Kluyveromyces lactis: one gene and its partners. The protein of the gene in region 1 interacts with the protein of each later gene in a biochemical or structural test. Links are inferred from orthologs where the notes say so. Each region holds a gene or a part of one and is shown on either strand. Other genes may lie near its edges. The genes, in order: SIC1, CDC34, KLLA0_D15565g, CKA1, CDC53, HOG1 and CKS1.

What was found.
Region 2: of the proteins of SIC1 (region 1) and CDC34, one has a biochemical effect on the other in vitro, tested with the Saccharomyces cerevisiae proteins (2 studies listed by BioGRID, with this or other methods). The link is inferred for Kluyveromyces lactis from reciprocal best matches to the Saccharomyces cerevisiae genes SIC1 and CDC34.
Region 3: the proteins of SIC1 (region 1) and KLLA0_D15565g form a complex in vitro, tested with the Saccharomyces cerevisiae proteins (4 studies listed by BioGRID). The link is inferred for Kluyveromyces lactis from reciprocal best matches to the Saccharomyces cerevisiae genes SIC1 and CLB5.
Region 4: of the proteins of SIC1 (region 1) and CKA1, one has a biochemical effect on the other in vitro, tested with the Saccharomyces cerevisiae proteins (2 studies listed by BioGRID). The link is inferred for Kluyveromyces lactis from reciprocal best matches to the Saccharomyces cerevisiae genes SIC1 and CKA1.
Region 5: the proteins of SIC1 (region 1) and CDC53 form a complex in vitro, tested with the Saccharomyces cerevisiae proteins (2 studies listed by BioGRID). The link is inferred for Kluyveromyces lactis from reciprocal best matches to the Saccharomyces cerevisiae genes SIC1 and CDC53.
Region 6: of the proteins of SIC1 (region 1) and HOG1, one has a biochemical effect on the other in vitro, tested with the Saccharomyces cerevisiae proteins (3 studies listed by BioGRID, with this or other methods). The link is inferred for Kluyveromyces lactis from reciprocal best matches to the Saccharomyces cerevisiae genes SIC1 and HOG1.
Region 7: the proteins of SIC1 (region 1) and CKS1 form a complex in vitro, tested with the Saccharomyces cerevisiae proteins (2 studies listed by BioGRID). The link is inferred for Kluyveromyces lactis from reciprocal best matches to the Saccharomyces cerevisiae genes SIC1 and CKS1.

Annotation. Positions count from the first base shown.
Region 1 is NC_006040.1:497,063-499,975, forward strand, and holds SIC1 (cyclin-dependent protein serine/threonine kinase inhibiting protein SIC1), read left to right. Parts: upstream 1-1,284; coding exon 1,285-2,088; downstream 2,089-2,913. Other genes in the region: BOS1 (Bos1p), read right to left, coding at 1-460, 576-578; GTPase-activating protein RGD2, read right to left, coding at 2,347-2,913. UniProt on the Saccharomyces cerevisiae protein: Substrate and inhibitor of the cyclin-dependent protein kinase CDC28. Its activity could be important for faithful segregation of chromosomes to daughter cells. It acts in response to a signal from a post-start checkpoint.
Region 2 is NC_006040.1:771,358-774,338, forward strand, and holds CDC34 (SCF E2 ubiquitin-protein ligase catalytic subunit CDC34), read left to right. Parts: upstream 1-1,437; coding exon 1,438-2,316; downstream 2,317-2,981. UniProt on the Saccharomyces cerevisiae protein: Catalyzes the covalent attachment of ubiquitin to other proteins. Capable, in vitro, to ubiquitinate histone H2A. Mediates the initiation of DNA replication (transition of G1 to S phase in cell cycle).
Region 3 is NC_006040.1:1,315,477-1,318,890, forward strand, and holds KLLA0_D15565g (uncharacterized protein), read right to left. Parts: upstream 1,876-3,414; coding exon 649-1,875; downstream 1-648. Other genes in the region: KLLA0_D15576g (uncharacterized protein), read left to right, coding at 2,911-3,165. UniProt on the Saccharomyces cerevisiae protein: Required for efficient progression through S phase and possibly for the normal progression through meiosis. Interacts with CDC28.
Region 4 is NC_006041.1:381,583-384,725, forward strand, and holds CKA1 (casein kinase 2 catalytic subunit CKA1), read left to right. Parts: upstream 1-1,291; coding exon 1,292-2,413; downstream 2,414-3,143. Other genes in the region: CAP2 (F-actin-capping protein subunit beta), read left to right, coding at 33-872.
Region 5 is NC_006042.1:536,204-540,798, forward strand, and holds CDC53 (cullin CDC53), read left to right. Parts: upstream 1-1,717; coding exon 1,718-4,156; downstream 4,157-4,595. Other genes in the region: SRF1 (phospholipase D regulator), read left to right, coding at 1-902. UniProt on the Saccharomyces cerevisiae protein: Core component of multiple cullin-RING-based SCF (SKP1-CUL1-F-box) E3 ubiquitin-protein ligase complexes which mediate the ubiquitination and subsequent proteasomal degradation of target proteins.
Region 6 is NC_006042.1:1,865,683-1,869,313, reverse strand, and holds HOG1 (mitogen-activated protein kinase HOG1), read right to left. Parts: upstream 2,106-3,631; coding exon 771-2,105; downstream 1-770. Other genes in the region: ATP-binding cassette glutathione S-conjugate transporter YCF1, read left to right, coding at 1-528. UniProt on the Saccharomyces cerevisiae protein: Proline-directed serine/threonine-protein kinase involved in a signal transduction pathway that is activated by changes in the osmolarity of the extracellular environment.
Region 7 is NC_006039.1:1,374,571-1,376,936, forward strand, and holds CKS1 (cyclin-dependent protein kinase regulatory subunit CKS1), read right to left. Parts: upstream 981-2,366; coding exon 582-980; downstream 1-581. Other genes in the region: protein kinase MEC1, read right to left, coding at 1-173; HSL7 (protein arginine N-methyltransferase), read left to right, coding at 1,338-2,366. UniProt on the Saccharomyces cerevisiae protein: Binds to the catalytic subunit of the cyclin dependent kinase (CDC28) and is essential for its biological function.

The DNA of each region.
Region 1 (2,913 bases):
GTGGTAAACCAGCCGCCGAATTGATAGTCATTCTTTCACTGTTCTGATCTAAGGCGCCTATTCCGAAAGATGTTTGCGGAGGAGCATTGATGTTCCTTTTATTCATCACGGTCTCTTCCACCATTGATGCTTGCTGGTTGAACAACTGATCTCTCGCATTAATTTCTGAGTATTTTTGCTTCAATTCGGTAAATTTCTCTTTTGCATCTTCGTAATCCTGTGTTAAGGTCTGAAGTCTCGTCTCATACTTTAGTTTAGTTTCGTCGTTGTCATCTGAACTATTTATTTGATATTGCTTGTATTGTTCCTTGTACTGATGAAGCGTTTTCTCGAAAGAAACAAGGGTTGTGGCGATCGCCCCTTGCAAAGAGATCGGCGCTGTTACGAGCTCTTTCTCAAATTTACCCAAGTCTTTATTTAGAAGACTTCGCTGCTTGATGGCATGATTATACAACGCGTTCTAGTGATATCGTGGGAAACAATAATTAAGGTAAGTTAGTAAATAAGTAACACATACGCGACGCGTGTCTATAAATGTAGAAATACAATTAGAGCAGCGCTCCAGCGAAACATACCATCTTAGCCCTGTTGTGATCGCAAAAATTCTTGATCGCTAATGAAGATCCAAAAGATTCAAGAAAGGAATACTCTTGAGAAATACAGGAAAATGCTGAGTCAAACGTTGAGCGTCAATCGTCAATTCTGATCGATCTGAATTATCCCAATGCGTATGAATGTTCCATAAACTTTCTTAGTTTCCAGTGGTTCCACTGCTCACAGACGCAATCCTTGTTTAGAAGTTATTTACTGCTACTCAAGTATGACTGCTAAATTGTTGCTGGTTCAATATTATTAGTGGTTCACATTAAAAAAAAAATTAAAGATGCTGGTTTTGAGTCTCACATATATCTATATATAAAGATAGTTTAACAGCGAACCATATCCAGCATAGAGCGGTTGCATACGCACCTAAGTAATCGAATCAGAGTCTCTTCATATCAAATTCCTTCTTGACGATAGTGAGGTTACTGGAAACTGGTTTCAACCTACTCTGCTTTTTGCTTCATTATAAGTTGCCAGATTTTCAGTCCGTTTTGTTTTAGACAGAAAAAGGGATATCATCGGTATAGTATACATTCTATACCATCTTTGCTACTTTTCATTTAGATCTCATCAACACACCGATACATCTGAAAACAATATCAATAGCTTTCAATTGGTAATACTAGAGTTTATCCTCTTTTTTTTTTGCATTCTACGCATTACACTCTTATTTCCATAATAATGACCCCAGCTACCCCTCCAAGTTCTAGGAATAAGAGATCAAATAAGACAGATTTGCTGCTCGCAACTCCAGAGCGAGCCGCGGAATCTGATTCCTCTGGCATGGTTACTCCGGGGACAGTTAGAGTAAAGGATAGATTGCAGCCACCTACTAGACCCATGAATTTAACAAGTCCATGCCCGGCATTAAAGACACCTGAATATACCCCACATAAGAACAAACATACGAAACGCAGGATAGAGTTTGACCAGGAGAAGTTACAACCTGTCAGTAGGGTCTTGTTCGGATCGGATTTCCAAGTAGAAGAAACTTCAAACAACAGGACTTTGCTACCACCAAAGAGAACCGGTATAATGGAGTCTTTCAAAGGCGTTCAAAGTTATAATATCAATGATGAGTATGCTGTCAATAACAAATTCAAACTTGCTAAACAAGAGCCAGGAACTCCAAGTGACAAGATCACCACCTTTGAACTTGCTAGAAAATGGCATAACGAGTCTGGTCTGAATACATCGCAATCAGAAAACGAAGAAGAAAATATTCATATTGAACAACAACCTACGGCAGTCAACCAACATAGTAATTTAGAGAATCCATTTCTTTCGAATAATATTGCTGATGAAAAACTGCGAAAAGAACGTAAAGAGAAGATGCTACTTGAGGACCCTGATTTGGAAGATACAATCACTTATGTGAATAAAGGAGGGAAGGTCGTTTCTAAAAGACATTTGACTGACGATGAGAAACAAAGGTTTAAACCTACGAGACTCTTTGCTGAAGAAATAGATAGGCATGATGGGTAGGTAAGACACATGAATAAAACGGGTTTTTATTTTTTATTTTTAACTATAGCTAACGGTACCGACACAATTCATAAGGAAAGAAGGGTATGGAATTCCCCTGTAACACTACATAACAAAAACTGCTAAAACATCATATTTATAAATACAATACTTACGATAATTTTCGTAGAATATTTCAGTGAAATAAGATTGTCGTTTTTGATCGTCGCAGAGTGTTAATTCTATGTAAAAGTCATATATATTAACAAAAACCCTTCATCAACCCCTGGATGATGGATTTGATCCTTTTCTCTTGAGTTCTTTGAAGATTTTCTTTCTATGCCTCAACAAATCTTCAAATACTTTGTATCCAAGTTCATTAGCTGTTGGCAGAATTGGATGTATTAGGCAATTTGCAAACTCTTGGCTAATGGCATCCCGTAAATTTTCTGCAAGTTCTTGACTTTCTTCAGATTTATTCATTCTAATGATTTCAATTAGTCTCTCGAAATGGGTTGTGATCACATCTAAGGTCACCATATTGGATTTTGATAATGTGGATAATGCAGTGGTAAGACCACGGACCCTTTGGTTTTCGGTTTCTTCTTTTATGTCTGATGGTGGATATTCTCGATATAGAACTTTGAGAATGTCATACGCATCCTCTGTTATAAGCGATTTTGGTAATTCGAGCAAATAAATTTTGAATACGCTAGCTACTGTTGATGGTTCAACCTTTTTAGATCGTAATATTTCGATGATTTCAGACTCTTCTTTGAATGGCTTGATTAAAAGTTGCCTTAGTTGATGAACTTCGTGAAGTTTAACAGGCTTTGTCCATACAAT
Region 2 (2,981 bases), about 270 kb from region 1:
TATACTGGATCTGAAATAGTAAATAGACAGAAAAACAAGAAATAATCTTCTGATTTAAAGGAAAATAAGTCAAAGAAAGTACTTTGGACGAAAACAAATTTCGGCACACAAAGAAAAGCGCGCAGACGAGAAAACATATAGCATCGAGTTGCAACTCCAACACGCCGTCGCGAGATACAAATCTTATAACGTTCCGAATGTGAGGACGGCAGGATCTCAGCAAAACATCCACCTTGAGGTGAATATGTAAGGGAATTAGGCCTGTTGAGCTATGGTGAAGTGCTGTATAGTTCAAAATGGTACGATTCAGACTTGATGAGCGTTATTGCCCTATGGCTCAGTTCGGAAAACCTTACGAGAATGAGAAAAGAAGGAGATGGTGATTGGTGTTCACGTGACCTAAGGTCACGTGAACTTTTCCACTGTTCCTATCGGTGAAAGCGGCGAGTCTAACGTTTGCTGACGCCGAGCAGAATATACTACTGCCCGATGAAGAACTAGTCTAGAGTATAAATAAGAATCTTGAACGTAACAACTGACTACCAGAGTTCTCCGATTCACATTTAATCCTAGTGTTCAGCTTATCAGTTAAAATGCACGCTCTCACAACGATGCGGTAGAAGTGATATTTTGCCGGATGCATTAGATACATTCGAAAAAATTGATGTAATTGGCCCCCGCATTCCCCATCAATTGGAAAATAAACATTCATGCGTAAATGTTGATGCCTTAAATACTGTTACTTTCATCCATGGATTATTAACGCATACCTGGTTGTGCAAATCAACATGAATAATGCCTGGGGACGAAAAGCTTACAAGACGGTAAAAAATATAGAGACATATAGCTATAGTATAAATATCGATTAAACCCCCAACCTGAACAATAGAACGGTATCTTCCAAGAGTACACAACCCAACGGTTTTTGCTTATTTTGTCTTGGGACGGTTTTTCTTGACTTTTCGGCATTCAGCTTGGTTCTTTTTTGTAAACCAGTTTCAGAAGAAATTTAAAAGGTCAAAACACAGACAACTATTAATTTTAATTACAAATTATTGTATTTGCATTTAAATGAGAGTATCAATAAACAGGTGATAAGGAGAGGTTGCATAGACTTTTGGGCGGGTATACTTGTACAAACGCAAAAACTCACACTACTCAGTTGGTATATTGTATTGTCCTATCTTTTGTTTGGCTTTACGTTTCATTACTTTTTTCTTTCTCTTCCTAACGTTTTTGTTAAGTTCTAGCAACATATTATTGTCAAATTTACTCGGAGATATCTTATCACTGAGGAACACCAAGCAACAGTTACTTCTAATCGTCAGCCCTAATAACTGAACTTTCTTGGTCTGGATATATCAGTTTTGGAAAAAGGGGGAAGTTTCAATCAGCACACAGAACATCTTTTTACCATAGAAATACTCTTTCTAAAGTATGAGCGGCAAGAATACTGCAGCTTCTTTGTTATTACGACAATACAGGGAACTCACTGATCCGAAGAAGGCTATTCCTAGTTTCCATATTGCATTAGAAGATGATTCAAACATATTCTTGTGGAACATCGGTGTAATGGTCTTAAATGAGGAATCCATCTACCACGGAGGTTATTTCAAGGCTCAAATGAAATTCCCGGACGATTTCCCATTTTCTCCTCCAACTTTTAGATTTACTCCAGCAATTTACCACCCGAACGTTTACCGTGATGGTAGGTTGTGTATTTCTATCTTACACCAATCGGGGAACCCCACCTCGGATGAGCCCGATGAAGAAACTTGGTCTCCAGTACAGACTGTGGAATCAGTGTTGATTTCTATTGTCTCCTTGTTAGAAGATCCAAATATTTCCTCTCCAGCTAACGTCGACGCTGCTGTTGACTACAAGAAGAATCCGGATCAGTACAAACAAAAGGTAAAACTCGAAGTGGAAAGATCAAAACAGGATATCCCGCAAGGGTTCGTGATGCCAGAATCAACAAAGGCGTATGTTTCCCAAAGAAAGGCAAATGAAGGTATTGACACCATCAAAGAAACCGTTGCCGATAATTTCTGGTACGACAGTGACGAAGGTGATGAAGATGTGGATATCTATGCATACGAGGATTCAGAAGATGAAGAGGATAATGACGATGTTTTCAGCAAAGATTCTTCAAACTTGAATTTCAGCAAAAAAGCTAACAAAAACGATATCGACTCAGATGAAGATGAAGATCTGGTGCCTGAAGAAGCAGAAGATTCTCTAGATGAAAGCGTAATGGATAGAAGAAGTAAATTAATGGAAGAAAGCGAGGAGTTAGAAGATGCAGAAATGAAATGATATGAATCCCTTACAACTTTTTTATTCCCTCAGAAGCAGTGCTTCTCAGCGTATCACATTCATTCACATTTCTTTCCTCACTACTGTCTTGTCTTTCTACTTCAATATACAATTATAAACACACGTTGAAGTTTGGTTACTACTGTAGTGATATACTATTTTGACCTCCAGTATAAATTCATGAACCTGTAACAACTTCAACGTCTTTATTGATTTTGTTTGGAGCATTCGCACCTCTAAATGATGATTGTCATAACCAAACATAAAACTGGAAACTGTCCTTTTTCAATTCACCATAACGCTGAATCTACATTTCAGCCCCTCAGATATTATATTGGAAAGTGAACAACTAACGATGCATCAAGTAACTAATAACTTAATAACACTTTTCGATGACAGTAACCCTAGCCGGTGCTGTGTGCAATATCTATGGAATGTTTTTTCTGGTTTTGGACCTCCATCAGGATATGAGATATAAGGGGGTTGTAAGAAAGACAAAGGAGGAAATGCCTGAAAGATTTTCAAATGGTATGAATTCGAACTTTAGAAAGTTCCTTGGAAATGAGTTCTAATTATGTGAATTGTCTTGACAACTATGCATCCTTCATTTCTTTTCTTTCCCGTTTAATCATGCATCAATCTCGTAAACTTGTTCGGACTGATGA
Region 3 (3,414 bases), about 820 kb from region 1:
GGACTTTTTCCTATAAGAAGAAATTCGAATCACGGGGTCAGAGATATGGAATCAATCTGATCCAATACTCAATTAGTTTCTGGGAAGTGGAATAGTACATGTTGCGCGTTAAAGGGAGGCATTCTAAAAGCATACTAAACCCAAAAAAAAAAAAAAACGATAACTATACTAATACTAATCATAATAGAAAACAAACATTGTAATAATTAATCTAGCCAACCCACATGTGTCAATGTGTTTTCCATTCAACAGATAAAATGAGGATTTAGACCTTAGTGAACCCTTTACTTCAATTCACTTTTAATATTTCACCTGCTCAAAAACTCAGAAAGAGTTCTCTCAGGATCATCAGTATCAGCATTATGTTGCAATCATAGGTATACCCACCCCTTACCCTTTAAAGTATAACCACTTCAAATAATTTACTTCTTATGTACACTTAGCATGTTTCTGAACTAATTTCAATTAATGAATAAGTCATTTTTTAACTATTATTATTAGTTGATTACTCGATTAATTATTTATAAAATGCAATGGATATGATTATGAAGTAAGAACATCTTGAAATGATGGGAATGCGAGACCGCAAAAGTAGCTCGGGGATGTGAATGAGCTTAAGATCCAAAAGAACTCGGAAGTGAAAAATTATCATAGTGAAGTGGAAGATGCAGGTGATGATGAAGCGTAGTCGCTAGGGTTCAGCTCTTCATAAGTACAGTGCTTCAAACACCAATCATGGATTTTGTTCCATGTGCCAATTTTTTTGTATTTGTGAATTAATGCATTAAGTTGTGTTGTTGGCTTAGCAATATCGTTTATCAGAATTTGTGATAACTCTTTTAACTCTATCTCATTATCTTTGAATGAAAAGCATGAATAATAATCCCATAATTCGTCCCATTGGAAGTCTTCATGCACGATTCTTTGTGCAGTGAACATTGCCACGGACGCAATCTTAGAAGGCACTACGTCGATGAAGTGTGGGCACGAAATCATATATCCAATTAAACACTTGCCCAAAGTTCTAGTGATTGAATCGTACTCATCACATCTGGATATTCTTCGTAGAAAATTTAATGGGTTAGGCCATCCGATGTTGTATTCCAGTTTATTCAGAATGACAAACTCGGCCTGTTTGATTTCATCGTTGCTGTAAGCATTATCTGTGATATATGAGTAATTTGATAGCTTAGGAAGATTCACCTCCTCAAACTTGGCGGCAATCAATAAAGACGTGATTGCAATTAATTGTAACTTTGGTAATGTAACTTTGTTAAAAGAAAGATATCTATCCATGAGGTTTATCGAAAGGTACAACGTTTCCGGTAACAGTTGAAACTTACAATGAACCTCTATAATCCAATCAACGAGGATCGATCTCATCGTCGGTCTCAAGTAAAATTCGTAATTTTTATCCTTCAAATAATTGATCTTTGGCGTAGTTTCAAACTGTCTCGTGTAAAGATGGTCAAAAATATCATCCGAATAATCATAACACATCGTTACATCTTCTTTATCCTGGGAGTCCAATTCTTCTCTACGTCTTTCTAAGCTCTCGCATTTCAGTCTCTTATGACTTTTCCTGGGCTCTAGAATATCATCATCTGAACGCACATCTGATTTTTGTTCCTCATCATCATCATCACGGTATATCTGTCTTTTCAACGACACTGAACTCGTTGTCTGTGAAGAGTTCCCATATATCTTATTTTTACCTTCATCGACTTGTGAATTCCTCAATGACCCGACTGAAGATTTCAGTTTATTATCGTGGAGTGGCTGCTCCGATAGCGCGACACGTTTCCTTTGGTGTGAAGACTTCTCCATTGCTTCTGCGTCACTAACACTCCAGCTGCTCCTGGTTCTCGGTCTCATCTTAAAATCTATACTCTATCGTTCTGTCTCCTAGTATGTGGTAAACATATATGCTGTATATATATATATGAAAACAGTTTCAACAGGATAGAGAAGAACTTAACCTGTTAGCGGTAACCCAGCCAGCCAATGTCACCAAAATCTTGGACCTGACAGACAACACACAAATCGCGTCTCTTTCTCTTATTGTTCTTTCTTGGCCCTAAAACAACGAGAAAGATACAATATACAGAAAAACACCGAGTAATCGACCGTGCATATCCAGTGGAAACAAACAAAATCTGTTATACACGCTTTCATAGACTAACAGCAGGTCATAAAATTCGTGAAGTTCCTTTGGAAGCTCTAACAGGCCTGTCTTGGTTCAAGGACTTTCCAATTTCGCTTTGTAGATTCGCATCTTCGCAAAGTGCTGACGCGTCAGCACGCCAAAAACGAAATTTGAAAAAAAATTGTTTCGCGTCTTCGCGTTGTCCGGATCTCAATCACGTGACCAAAGTATTCCGGACAAAATGGAAACTGTCAATTTATTTTCACGTGATTTAGACGGGAAAAAAGTCCCGTTTTCTATTTCTGATGAGAGAGAGAGAGAGACTCATTAGTATGCGACATACAGCGATTATCGCTGACTCCTCTTCCTTCGAGCGATTTGCCTGGCATATATCGTACCGGCTTACAAAGTCAGCCCAGTACAGCCAAGGAAAAAAGGCAGACGTTCGCCGAGTTCTATCAGTCTTTCGCTACTATTCCTCTATCTTATCGGTCGGTCTTTCTTAGAACGAACAGATAATGAAAATCTGATATCGCCATACGGCTCCATTGAGATTTATCAGATTAAAGGGCTCGAAGAGACAAAAGGTACACCGTTCCATAGTTAGATTATATAGTACGAGAAACCTACCGTAGGTATATAAGTAAGGTTACAACCGATTTTTGGGGGGTTTTGTCCAAGATATAACATCATTTTCTTTTGTATTCATCTGATTATTAGGAAGAACACTATCTATTAACTAGATAAAAAGCAGCGCAAGGAATATGGAAGGGTTCAAGTCTAAGTGGGAAAAATTTAAGAGATACGTTTCTGGGAGTCCAGTTGAAGGTGAGAAATACGATGAGGCTCCTAAGGTCGAGGATTTGCCTCATATGGTCGATGCAGACGGTGCTCTTGTTGCAGTTTCTTCCGGGAAACACGATTTGTCCCCGGTGATGTCTGCCAAGTACAATATTCAACCTGGGAAATCCAATAATGGTTTGGCTGAAAACAAGGCCATTGACGATACTATTAATTAGAGAGGATGTAAAGACTTCAAATATTTTGTATACACTACCAATATTTTACCGTATAATCGATATTCAAATTACTTACTGCATCGAGAATTAGCTTTGGGATTGATGCTGTATGGGGTAAACTGTCCAGAAGAACATAATGGGTGAAGTTACGAGGTCACTCAAGTAACTCCTCTCGGTAGCCAAGTTGGTTTAAGGCGCCAGACTGTAATTTGAAAACACAAAGCAATTTGTAATCTGGAGATCGGGCGT
Region 4 (3,143 bases), on another chromosome or scaffold:
AGTTGTAAATATACTGAAGATACGGAACTAGAATGTCTGTGGACGAGAAATATGATGCTGCTTGCGAGCTTTTATACAGATTGGATCCAACAAAGGTGAAAACCCATTTACAGAACCTTATTGCGTTGGAGCCTGAAATCGCAGAAGGATTACTTTCCTCAATTGATATCCCATTGACCATTAAGAAGGATACCGATGCTAACAACAAAGAATTCTTATGTTGCGACTACAACCGTGACATCGATTCTCATAGGTCACCGTGGTCTAACCAGTACTTCCCTGAATTGAGTGCCGAAGATTTGAAAGAAAGTCCTTTTCCCAGTGAGCCATTGAGAGAACTAGAAGTTGCATGCAACAATTCTTTCGAGTTGTATAGGGACCTATACTACGAGGGTGGTTACACTTCAACGTATCTCTGGGACGTTGATGAATCAACTGATTTCGCGGGAGTCATTCTTTTCAAGAAAGCTGAATCAGATGATTCTAAATGGGACAGTATCCACGTCATATCTGCCACCCACGATGAAGAGGGTATGGAAGTCACATATAATGTCACTACAACGGTGATCTTGCACTTGGAAAACCTATCAAAAGAACAACAACTATCATTGTCCGGTAATCTAACTAGAGAAAATTCCAAGACCGTAAAATTGCAAAACGTATCTACTGTTGAACAGCTAGTACCCGCTCACTCTTCCAGCTTGGGATCTATGATTGAAGATATTGAATCTAAGCTTAGATCAATGCTCGAAATCGTGTATTTCGAAAAGACGTTGGATATTTACAACGTGTTGAGAGAACGTAACGATGATTCTACCAAATTGCAAAAGGAGCAACACTCCGAATTAATTGAAAACTTCCAGAAATTATAATCAATTGAATAAATAAAGTAAGAAATTATACACACATACACTACGTATAAATGCTAAATGAACACCATTATATTTTGCCGGTTCGTCAGTCAACACAATTATTGGCTAGAATTGTTCTATACATAAAACCGTTACCCTAACTCCTCATACTGTAGTTTCGAAATGTCAATTTTTGCAAGAGAGACATGAACTGAAAAGAAATCAGATAACCCAGAAATGAAAATTCCAGTTTGAGTATAGGCATTACAAAAGCTTCAAACGTACTGGATTATATACGGTGAGTGGTTTGGATTTCTCGGACTCATTATTACCACTGTTTATAGAAATAGAAAAGGTCAACAAAAAACTGGCTGGCAATCGTTCTCGTTGTTAATTTCGTGGTAGTTTTAGAGACTTTCCAGTACATTATTAAAAGGAAGATGAAATCGAAAGTGTGGAGTGAGGCAAGAGTCTATAGTGATGCCAACGAGATTCGTGGTCAAAGATACTGGGACTATGAAAATACATCAATAGAATGGAAGGCTAATAACTCACAGTACGAAGTTGAATGCAAAGTTGGCCGTGGTAAATATAGTGAAGTTTTCCAAGGCGTACAGTTATCCACGAGAAATAAGATTGTCATTAAGATGCTAAAACCTGTGAAGAAGAAGAAGATTAAGAGAGAAATTACCATACTTGCAAACCTCTCGAATGAGAAGAATCCGCCAACTGCGCAACCTTACGATGAGGCAAAATATTACACAAACAGAAGAGAAGAAGTACTGAAATATGCGAGAGATAAAGTATATGACTTACCTCATAACGGGCATGAGAATATTATAACATTGTTAGATGTGGTCAGAGATCCCATATCCAAGACACCTGCATTGATTTTTGAACATATCGACAATACGGAATTCCGTAGGTTGTATGCTTCATTTTCGGATCTTGATATTCGTTATTATATGTTCGAGCTTTTGAAAGCTTTGGACTACTGCCATTCGATGGGTATTATGCATAGAGACGTCAAACCACACAATGTAATGATTGACCATAAGCAACACAAATTGAGACTAATCGATTGGGGTTTGGCTGAATTTTATCATCCATCGATGGAATACAATGTCCGCGTTGCGTCAAGATTTTTCAAGGGCCCAGAACTTCTAGTTGATTATAGAATGTACGATTACTCGCTAGACTTATGGTCATTTGGAGCAATGTTAGCATCAATGGTTTTTCTGAAAGAGCCTTTCTTCTATGGGTCGAGTAATACTGACCAGCTAGTCAAGATTGTACGCGTCTTGGGTAGTGATGATTTCGAAAGATATTTACAGAAATATCAGATAACACTCCCAGATGAGTTTATTGATATGGATCAATACATCAGAAGACCATGGCAGAAATTCGTCAATGATTCCAACAAGCACCTATGTGGAAACGATGATATCATTGATTTAATCGATAATCTTCTTCGTTACGACCATCAAGAAAGATTTTCTTGTAAAGAAGCTATGGCTCATCCATGGTTTGCTCCAATTAGAAACAACGAATACACATTATAACCGTTCCATAGATCAATATTTTTATGAAGTTAATAATAATAATAATACTAATAACAACTGTGTGAGCTTTCCTATAATAAGTGTTGGAGGATATATTTTGATCGGGTGCTTCTAAATCTACGAATTTATTATTGACATTCATTGAGAAAGTTTTCAGATGTTGTGGAACTGTTTTGATCCTGAAGCTGAGCCCAGTCAAGCATTTGAAATTCTGCAATGAACGTTTTGTCTTTCAACATCAATAACTCACTCTGAACATACCTCTTGCTTTGAAGGATATTACATCCGTCACAATGAACTTCTCTGCAGTGTTCCAAAATCGATGACAAAATCTGTAGACAGAATCTGAATGCTAGTCCGAAATAGGGAACAATAGGAATTGTTAATCTTTTTCCGAACTTCATAAGATATTCCCACCTTTTCTGGAAAATAACGTGAAAGGCAGAATCCGTTCCTGCCTTTAAATCACTCCAAAATGTTTGTGAATCCAGTAATTTCTCTTTGATCAATAGTTCCATGGTGTATAGGACATGACAAGCAAACCGGATTTTTGTTACATCGTCATCGCCCAAAAGGACTAATCTAACTAGGAATTTAGAATGATACGAGCAGATATTCTGAAGGTGATATTCGGAGACGGAAATATCGAATTGCCTTTTCAAAACTTTTGTATAAAGTTCTCTGTTGTACATTTCTTTCGTGATAAATCTATCAAATAATGTCTCATGCA
Region 5 (4,595 bases), on another chromosome or scaffold:
ACTACTATGGACACACGACAGATAGCAGTTATGATGAGGAAGTAGAAAGAGTCAGACAAGAAATCTTTCAAAATTTAGATGGAGATTGGGAAGGTGGGAAACGATTGGATGCTATCTTCAACGCTCCGATTCCTGAAAGCTACGAATTGAGTAATCAACGAGACAAGAATGAGTGGCTTAAATACGTTTCCCAACTCAAAGCTTTTTACTACTTGAATAAGGACTCTGCGAAACAATCTTCGGAAACTCATTCAAGTGACGATGGGAGGTTTCATTCTATTTTAAACAAGGGGAGAAATAGTGTGAATAGTAAGAAAAACTCTTGGGCTACCCTTGAACAAAGAAAAAAACAACAATGGTTACCAAGACTACGAAGACTTTTATTGCAAAGTCAATATCTACCTTTGTCGTTGAGATTTCTCATTGTGATACTCTGCATAATCTCTCTTGGCCTAGCAAGTAGAATATACCAGAACTCGGATTCCACTGTCGAATCCTTCGAATCATCAATACCTCAACAACCAAGTACTATCATGGCGCTATGTGTTAATTCCATCGCTATATTATATTTGGTTTATATCGGATATGACGAATTTTCAGGGAAACCGCTAGGAATTAGAGATCCTATGACTAAAGTCAGACTAATTATGCTGGACCTTTTATTCATCATATTTTCAAGTGCTAATTTATCGCTTACCTTCAATACATTATATGATAATCGATGGGTCTGCACATCTACTGGAACGTCACAAGTTGATCCTCCGCACGTAGGATATATATGTGACAAACAAAGGGCGCTCGCGGCGTTCCTTTTCTTGGTCTTGGTCACTTGGGTTGTAACGTTCAGTATTAGCATATTAAGGGTCGTGGAAAGAGTCAGTTCTGGTGCTCCAAGACCCTAAGACTATTCTTGAAACGGGCCCTTCCGACTTAAGACGCCTGTAGATTAATTGTTTTAAATAAATCATTATTCCATGAGAGTACATAATTTGTTTACAAACCCAACAAAAGAAAATCAAAAGTACCAAAGAAAACCTTATAAACATATAAGTTTGGGCCCTGTATTAAACAACATAATTAGACGACTGCAGTATGCTAAAGTATATTTGCCGAAAGCTGTAATCCTTACCCTCTTTTAAGTACTTTAATAATAAGATCAGATTCATATTGAGGAACAATTCAGGATTTTTTGATATTCCAATAATGTGTGGCAAACGAAAACAAAAATATAAGAAATTATAGTAACATAGTATGCAATTATATAAATCAGTATATAACAAGTAAGGCTGTCAAAAAGGGTCAAAATATCGAACAACTCGGAGATACTTCACGATAGAAGCAATATAAAGTTTTCCTGTGTGACCCTTTTTTATAGGATCCCGCCAACAAGTGGTGCATTTCATATTTAGCAGTGAAGGCGCTTTCTATTCTGTTTTATCCTTTCTTTCGATTCATTGAAAAGGGTTGCTCGACTAATTGGGACTCGAACTGTATTTTCTATCGCTGCTGATTTCAGTTTACTACCAAATCTTTATTTACAAGTACCGCTACCTGCGCCCTTGGGAATACTATTATTCTAAAGCGTATATTTAACTGGGTTAGTGGGAAGCAAGTCTCATTAACGCTTCAGAAAAGATAACTTAGGCATCGTTCAATAGAAATATTACTGGTAAAAGAAACTACACGTGCAATCAATAAGAAACAAGTCTAATAAGCTATGGCAGACACATTACCTAGATCAGATGATTTGGAAGCAACATGGAACTTTGTGAAGCCTGGGATCGACCAGATCTTGGATCGTGATGGTACATCGGATATAAAGACAAACAGAGTTCAGAAAGTTCTTTCCCCAAGGATGTACATGGAGGTATACACGGCGATTTATAATTACTGTGTCAACAAGTCACGTTCTACAGGTCATTTCCAATCTGATATTATAGGGAAGCAAATGAATCAATCTTCGATTCTTGTTGGAGGAGAAATCTATGAGAACTTAAAGAATTATTTGAAAGATTACATATCGAATTTAAAGAAAGATGATAATGTAACGTTTTTGAATTTCTACGTGAGACGCTGGGAAAGATTTACAATCGGAGCTATTTTCTTAAATCGGGTCTTCGACTATATGAACCGTTACTGGGTGCAAAAGGAAAGAAGCGATGGTAAAAGACACATTTTCGATGCACATACTTTGTGCTTGATGACGTGGAAAGAAGTTATGTTTGAAACACATAAGACGGAACTCGTTACTGAAATATTCGATCAATTGGATTTGCAGCGGAGGGGTGAATTAGTGAATAAATCTGCTATTACAATAGCAATAAAATCCTTTGTGATATTAGGTATCGATCCATCAGACTTAAAGAAGTTGAATTTGAATGTGTATATTCAAAACTTCGAACAGCCATTCCTACAGAAGACAAAAGAATACTACACGAAGATGTCCAACGAATTCTTAGACTCTCACAGTGTCTCTGAATACATCGAAAAGGCAAATGAATGCATAATCTTCGAAGAAAAGGACATGATTTTATATTTGGATTCCCATACATCGGCACCATTGTCTACAGCTTTGAACCAAGTTTTGATTGCTGATCATGCCGATAAGTTAAAAAAAGAGTTTATTTTACTTTTGGATAAGCAAGATCAAAGATTGATTAAGCTCATATACGAATTGATGAAACGCGATTACCGAATGTTACCAGATTTGGTGGATACTTTTGATATGTACATCAAGAGAGTCGGAAATGAAGAAATCGATAAATTAATTGATGCACATAATAAGAGTGCAGCACAAGATTCAAACGCTAAAAGGCAACCGGGATTATCACCTAGAGATTACTTGAAATGTTTAATAGGAGTTTACAAACTCTTTTACAATATCACCATAGAATGTTTTGAAAATCATCCTGCTTTTGCTAAGGCTTTAGACTATGGATGCCGTTGCTTCATTAACAATAACTCATTCGCTATTCCTCCTGGTTCACCTAAATTTGCGACTTCTAGAGCTCCTGAGATGTTGGCGAAATACAGTGACCAGTTGCTCAAAAAGTCGACCAAGAATAATGAACAGGTAGATTTGACCGTGGATGATATCATGACTGTCTTTAAGTTCTTGGCCGACAAGGATGCATTTGAGATGCATTACCGAAAAAATTTAGCAAAAAGATTAATTCATGGATCATCAAAATCAGAAGCTGATGAAGAAATCATTATCCAAAGACTACAGTCCGAGAACAGTCTTGAATACACCAGCAAGATTACCAAGATGCTACAAGATGTCAAATTATCTAAAAACTTGCATGATGAATTTTCCACGTTCATTTCACAAGATGGGAATAATACTACTAGCGCCGCAACTTTCAGAAGCAAAGTTCCTGAATTAGAACCTCTAATTCTTGCAGACAATGTATGGCCCTTCAGCTATCAACCAACAGAATTCGCATTACCACCAGTTCTTGAACATAGTAAGAACAAATTGGAAACCATGTATACTGACAAGCATTCTGGTAGAATATTGAAATGGCTATGGCCAATGTCTCGTGGTGAAATCAAGGCACATATTGGTAAACCAGGCAAACCACCATTCCAATTCACTGTGACTATTTTCCAAATGGCGATTCTTACCTTGTTTAATGATATATCTACGTTGACCTTTGAACAAATACAAGAGAGAACCAATTTGAAGGCTACACAGATTGCGTCTAATATGTATCCGTTTGTGAAGATGAAACTATTAATACAATCTCCAGAAGGGGTGGAAAGTATGATCAAGTTAGATACAAAGTACACCTTAAACAAACCCTATCGATTATCGAAAACTAGTGTTAATTTTGCAGCCGCTGTGAAAAATGATCTAACCTTTACTGCAACCGTTAATGGATCTGCATTAGATGAAACAGAGGCATCTGAGCAAAAGAAAGCAGAAAAGGAACTAAATCAACAAAGATTGATGTTCTTAAGAGCATGCATAGTGAGAATTATGAAGGCAAAGAGAAAACTACCACACAGTTCATTGATGAACGAGTGTATTGCCGAATCTCAACAGAGATTCAACGCCAAGGTGTCCATGATCAAAAAAGCTGTCGACAATCTAATAGAACAAGAGTATTTGAAAAGGACAGACGACGGTGAATGCTATGAATATCTAGCGTAAACGCTCACTTTTTTATCCACCTTTTACTTCGCCATACATATGTATAAGAAATGTATATGTATCAACATATATTTCGCAACCATTCGACCATTCGACCAAAGGTCAACCTTGGGCCCCATATTTTCAAGCATGAATATTCCCAAGAAAAAAAGAGAGACATCATGAAAGGACCGACGAGTATACTATTCATTACTCAATAGCCAAACCTAAATGCTTGGGTAGCCCTCTCTGCTCTCTTGCTGCTCTCACTACTCTCAGTGACTACCTTAGCATCATTCGGAAGGTGTTTGTCAATACCTGCTGCAAAAATCTACGTTCATCGGATTTAAAATCCACAGGAATATTCACGAAAATTGGTCATGATTAGACTTTAGCTCGAAATTGAGTGGGAATTTTACCATATTTCTTTTCATTGACCATATTTCAATTATGGGAAAGA
Region 6 (3,631 bases), on another chromosome or scaffold:
TCTATAGGTTTGGCTGATTTGAGACATGGATTGTCGATTATCCCGCAGGATTCTCAAATCTTTGAAGGCACAGTGAGAGAAAACATCGATCCTACTAATCGGTATACCGATGAAGAAATTTGGAATGCATTGGCTTTATCACACTTGAAGGATCACATACTGGGTATGGGATCTAATGGTTTGGAGACCATGCTTACTGAAGGTGGTAGTAATTTAAGTGTAGGCCAAAGGCAATTGATGTGCTTGGCTCGTGCCTTGTTGATTTCAAGTAATATCTTGATTTTGGATGAAGCAACTGCAGCTGTTGATGTTGAAACGGATCAATTGATCCAAAAGACGATTAGAAACGCATTTAAGGAAAGAACAATCTTAACAATTGCTCACAGGATTAACACAATTATGGACAGTGATAGAATTATAGTGTTGGATAAAGGTAGAGTAACAGAGTTCGACACTCCTCAGAATTTGTTACAGAAGAAGGATTCTATTTTCTATTCGTTATGTCTTGAAGCCGGCTTAACGGAGTGAAACCCCCTCAAGTTGTATTATCATAACAGAGATTTTGTTTATTTAAGTACTTTTGTAATAATTTTGTTAAGCAATTGTTTCCTAGTTGAGATGCCCTATCAGAATTATAAATAATATTCGGTTTATCGTAAGAAACGTGTAAATAGTTACATTTCTGCTGTGATTAAAAGATGCTTTATATAATACGAAATAAAAACAAAAAAAGAATATACTTCTGTCAAGCAGATTTCATTACATTGAACTTATTTGAATTTGGAGACGTATTGGTCTGCTTGATTAGCAAAATTCGTCAATGTTTCGTTTGCTGGATCAGGGCCAATAGAGAAAGAAGGGTTAGAATTGGAATTAGAGTTAGCGCCACTTTCAAGTTGTTGTGGGGTCACTTGAGCCTGGGGAGGAGTAGAGGCGATTGTCTGTTGAGTTTGCTCTTCAGTTTGGTGTTGTTGCTGCTGCTGTTGCTTAGAGGCAGCCTCCGCGGCGGCGACAGTGGCAGCGGCTACTTGGTCGTCGAAAGTAGCATTTGTATTGATTTGTGGGTCACCGATTTGATGGAAATCCAAGATCTCGGAATACATCATTACACGCCAGGTGTCAACAGGTAAGTCAGCATCGTTGAAATTCCAATCAAACTTAGCTTCTGCGATAGGTTCGTCGGTTGGGTCATGATATGGGGAAAGGTAAGGATGGGCCAAGGCATCAGCTGCTGTAATTCTCTTCTTTGGATCGAACACAAGCATTTTTTCTAGAAGATCTATAGCATCTGGTTCCAAGTTCTGGAACCTCGAACTGAATGGTACAGGATCTCTATGAGGTAATGAAGTAACAAATTTGAGAGTGTTCTCTGAGCAAATAGTGTCTATGACATCTTTTGGAGGCGATCCTAATAGATCAGTGATGATAGAAAATTGATGCACGTGATCTTTACCTGGGAACAAAGGCTTACCCTCGATCATTTCGGCAAAGATACAACCAGCAGACCAGATGTCTACTTCAACATTATATTTTTGCCAGGTCAACATGATTTCTGGGGCTCTATAGTAACGGGTTGACACGTAACCAGTCATTTGAGGATCTTGAATCCTAGCAAGTCCGAAATCGCAGATCTTTAAATCACAGTTCTCATTGATCAAGATATTGGAAGGTTTCAAATCTCTATGGATCACACCTGCGGAATGAACGTATTTAAGCCCCCTCAAGATCTGGTATAAGAAATATTGAACGAATTGTTTTTCCAAAGGCCTTGTCTGCAACAATCTATGTAGATCCGTCCCTTGCAATTCAGTGACGAAATAAATATCTTCTAATGGTGACAAGAAGATATCTTCGAGACAAATCAAATTCTCATGCCTTAGATGCTTTAACAATTTGAGTTCCCTATACGTTCTTTTTGCCAGTACGGAAGTAGAAAACGGTTTCATAATCTTCTTAATCGCTACAGGCTGGCTTGTTAGCGTATCTGTAGCAGAACAAACCAACCCGAAGGCACCCATACCAACCGGGTTCAAATTAGTATACCGATTGGTAATTTCGAAAACTGTACCAAAAATTTGAGTCCTAATAAATTCCTCATTCGACATTTTATTTCAATTGGAAAAACGTGTCCAGCTTCGATATCCTCGAGTTTTTGGTTCAACGAAGGATACGTATATGAATCTAATTCTTTGGGAGATCGCTCGAACTGGCAGATAACTTAAGCAACGTTATAGCAATTGTTGTCGAAGGGTCTCCTAGTTTTGTTTCTATCAAGTTTTCTTTAATTTTCAATTTTTTAAATTTAACGACTTGAATATGAAATTCAACGGTTCTAATTCACTAAAAAAAAAAGGAAGGGCCTGGCAAAAAACGATGTCCATTCACCGATAATGGAGGGGAAAGTGTCACAGTGGGAATTATATAAAACACTGTTTCGAAGATTTTATCACCGTTTGGTTCTGTGATTAACCCTGAAATACTGCCTGTGTACTTGTTTCCTATTTAAGACGTAACAACAGCTCTGACAGATAGGATCGACGTCGGCTTGATAGATTGGGTTATTATATGTGTATGCATGTATGTATGTAGAGTAAGATTTGCGAACAGGAGGGGCAGTGGCGGATTATGATACATGACATCCGGGTAATACTTCTACTGATATCACGTGATAAACCAAGTAAGAAACCCTTGAGAAGACCACCCAATTATTGCACACCTGTGAATACCGTGACGTTACATATTAATACTGGTGACCATAAACGTTAAAGGTACTTCTTGATCAATAATTATACATTTCCTCATTTAAAGTTTCTTTGTAAGTCGAAATGACAGTTTTTGGACAGACATCAATTTGAATAAAGTATGGTTTGAAACCGCCTACTTACATACAACGTGATCTGATAAGAAAACTTACGAGACAGGGTAATAGATGCATAGAAACGGATTAGTAACTTGATGTTACCCGGGAAATCACACCTCTTGGTTTTCTAGGCATGGAATAGAAAAAATGGACGAACCGTGAGATGATTTGCAGTAGGTAAAACCCACCGGCCGCGCCCTTGACGCTCTGTCGTAGTTTGTAACCTACTATCGGCGTTTCCAGGGTCTATTTACAAATCAAGCCATGACATCCTTCTCTACTGGTGACTGATCTGACTTACACTCAACATGAGTCGAACCCGCGACTCTGGAATACGACGATATACTTGAGATTTGTGATTAGCGCCTTTAAAGCCCTATCATGGAACCCTTGAAACGCGATCGCACAGGGTAAACAAAGCACACCATCTTGCAGAAGCAAGCAGACAAAGGGGAACGAATCTGATTAAAGAGTGAAATGCCCAAAGTCTAGAACCTTTTTACAGGGTACCAAATATAGAAGATTACGCAAAACTATAAAACCAAAACAACGGAAATCAAAACAAAAAGAGTCCGCAGCAACTACGTAATTTTTTCGTGGATTCTATTGCCTTGTAGTATTGCGTAGAAAATTGCTCGTAGAAAATAATCTCCCCCTCAGTTCTACCTGAAAAATTTCGAGTTCATATCGCTCGCTATCTGATATCTTGAATGAGACCATCTTTTATTTTTTCTCATCTGGAGTGGGATTTTTTTAATATCTTGCCTATGT
Region 7 (2,366 bases), on another chromosome or scaffold:
ATCACCTCATCCGTATTCGTAGATTGCGTATTCTTCAACAATGTCTGTAGTAATTTCCCATTCTTTTCATCTAATTGCAAAGTGCTATCTAACTCTATACCATTTCCTACAGTTCCTGCTGATTTTAACGCCAGTATCAGTTCTTCCAGATATTTTACCCTAGGATTATCCATTTCCTATACGCTGAGAAGATATTACTCTTACACGGCAACTGCACTCTCAATCACACTCACCTAGGACGCCCTAACGAGAGAAAACTGTGTTTCTTTCATAGTCCAGCGTTTGTTTTTGGTTAGTTTCATTATTTATAATTTGACTTATATACAAATTTTGGTATCAATAAGGAATCTCAACACATACATAAATGTGGTATGTACATATGCTAAACACTTCTCCAGAAGTACAATTCAGGCGTCTTAAGCCATTTGCAAGTTTGACAACAGAAGACTAACTTACACAAAGTGTGCAGCCAGGAATTGCAGATCTTTGGGGAAACATTATTCTCTCTTATTAACAGTGTAACGCGTAAAACTGGAATACGATTTTCTTATTATTTCATTTTAAAGTCTTTAGTGGGTAGTTCATATATTTTGACTTTGTTGGCCTGCAGCAATTGATTTTTGCTGCTGCTGTGCGGCAGCATGCGCCGCACGTATTTCAGCCTCGTAATTCAGTGGTCTCTTAAATAGTAAAATATGTGGTTCAGGCGCATGGCATTCGTAATGTTCCCATCCCAGAGATTGTGTAATTCCTAACCCTCTCCATTCGTCTTCTGTTAAGATTCGCAAAGTACCAGTGTCTCCGTTGAAATAATCAGAAGGTATCACTTTTAGCATGGCCTTGGGAAGCATTACATGTCTGTATTCGTGTGTATCGTCGGAGTATCTTGGTGAATAATGAATGCTATCTTGAAATTCGAGAACTCTCGTTCTTTCCTGATCAGAAAGCTTTCTGCCTTGGAAAGCGTGCGTCGAATACATTGTTAGATTCGATCACAACTTAAGCTATACAATTGGAGTGTTAATTAACCCTAGACTACTGATGCTGGATCTTATTCGCTCATCACATATCATGTCTTTAGCATAACTGAAAAGATCTTAGGTATTAAAATAGTATTGTTTACAAAAAAAAAATGAAAATAAATATTGTTTAGGACAGAAACCAGATCCGTCACTATTGATGGTCAGAGATGAGGTAAAAGAATAGGACACAGAGCTATCACTGGTGTAGTGTCTACCATAATTACGGTATAGCTGAAGAAGGGTTTACCAATAAACGTTTGACTGTTGTTGTGAAACTGTTCTGCGTGCTGCGTTTGTGTGTTTGTATGTGCTGAAATGGCAAGTCGAAGTAATGTTTTCGTCGGGATCAAACCTCACAGTGAACATTCCGCTGATGTTCTTGGAACTTCTTCTACAGATAAAAGAGTAGAGAATTATGACTATGTGCTGCTGCCCTTGACAAATACCAGATACAAGGATGCCATGAAGGCCAAGTTTGAAGATTTTCGAGATCACGGTCATGGATGGAATGAAGAACTAAAGTTAGATCCTCCTCAATTGCAAGAGCTGGGGGTATTGCCATCTAATGGAAATGTTTCATATATTGGATTGGTCTCTTACTTTTTAGAGCTCGAGAGCCATGATGCTGATGTCCGGACTTTATCTTTGCAAGTGTTGGAGCACGAATTGCATTATGCAAATTTCGTTGGAATCAGACAGGTTATCTTAGCTCCTCCTAAAAAGTTACACACGCTTCATTACTACGCACAATCTTTGTGTACAGTATTTGATACTTTTAAAGAAGCGTGTCCGACAATATCTATTTCGTTACCTTTGTTTGAAGATTCAGATCCACTTTCGACTTGGGAACTGTGGAACACGATCAGGAAAATGTGCGGATACGAGCCTAAATTGACTGTATCTCTAGCTCTACCTAGACAGAAGACTCCCAGTTTTGTGCTAAACAGATGGCTGAGCGAACCTGTCACATGTCTTTTGATCTCTGCATCCATATTCACAACAAATCAATACAATTACCCTGTATTGAATAAATTTAATCAGCATTTAATCACTGAGTTCCAACGTGTTAACGGTAACGCATCAACATTTGGCGAACTAGCTATCGTTTTACATGGTATGGAGAAATACACGGATAAACTCAAAATTGAACCTACACAGTACCTAGAATACCTCAATTATTTATTGAAAAAGGGAGATAAGCTCATACTAATGGAGACCCAAGATGTTGTCCACAGTGCACCTACAATCATGCCTCCGCTACTACCCCATCATGATAATCTTTCGAATGCAGTTTACCAAGTTTTCGAAAAGGATACTGTCAAGTACGAATTATACGAGAGGGCT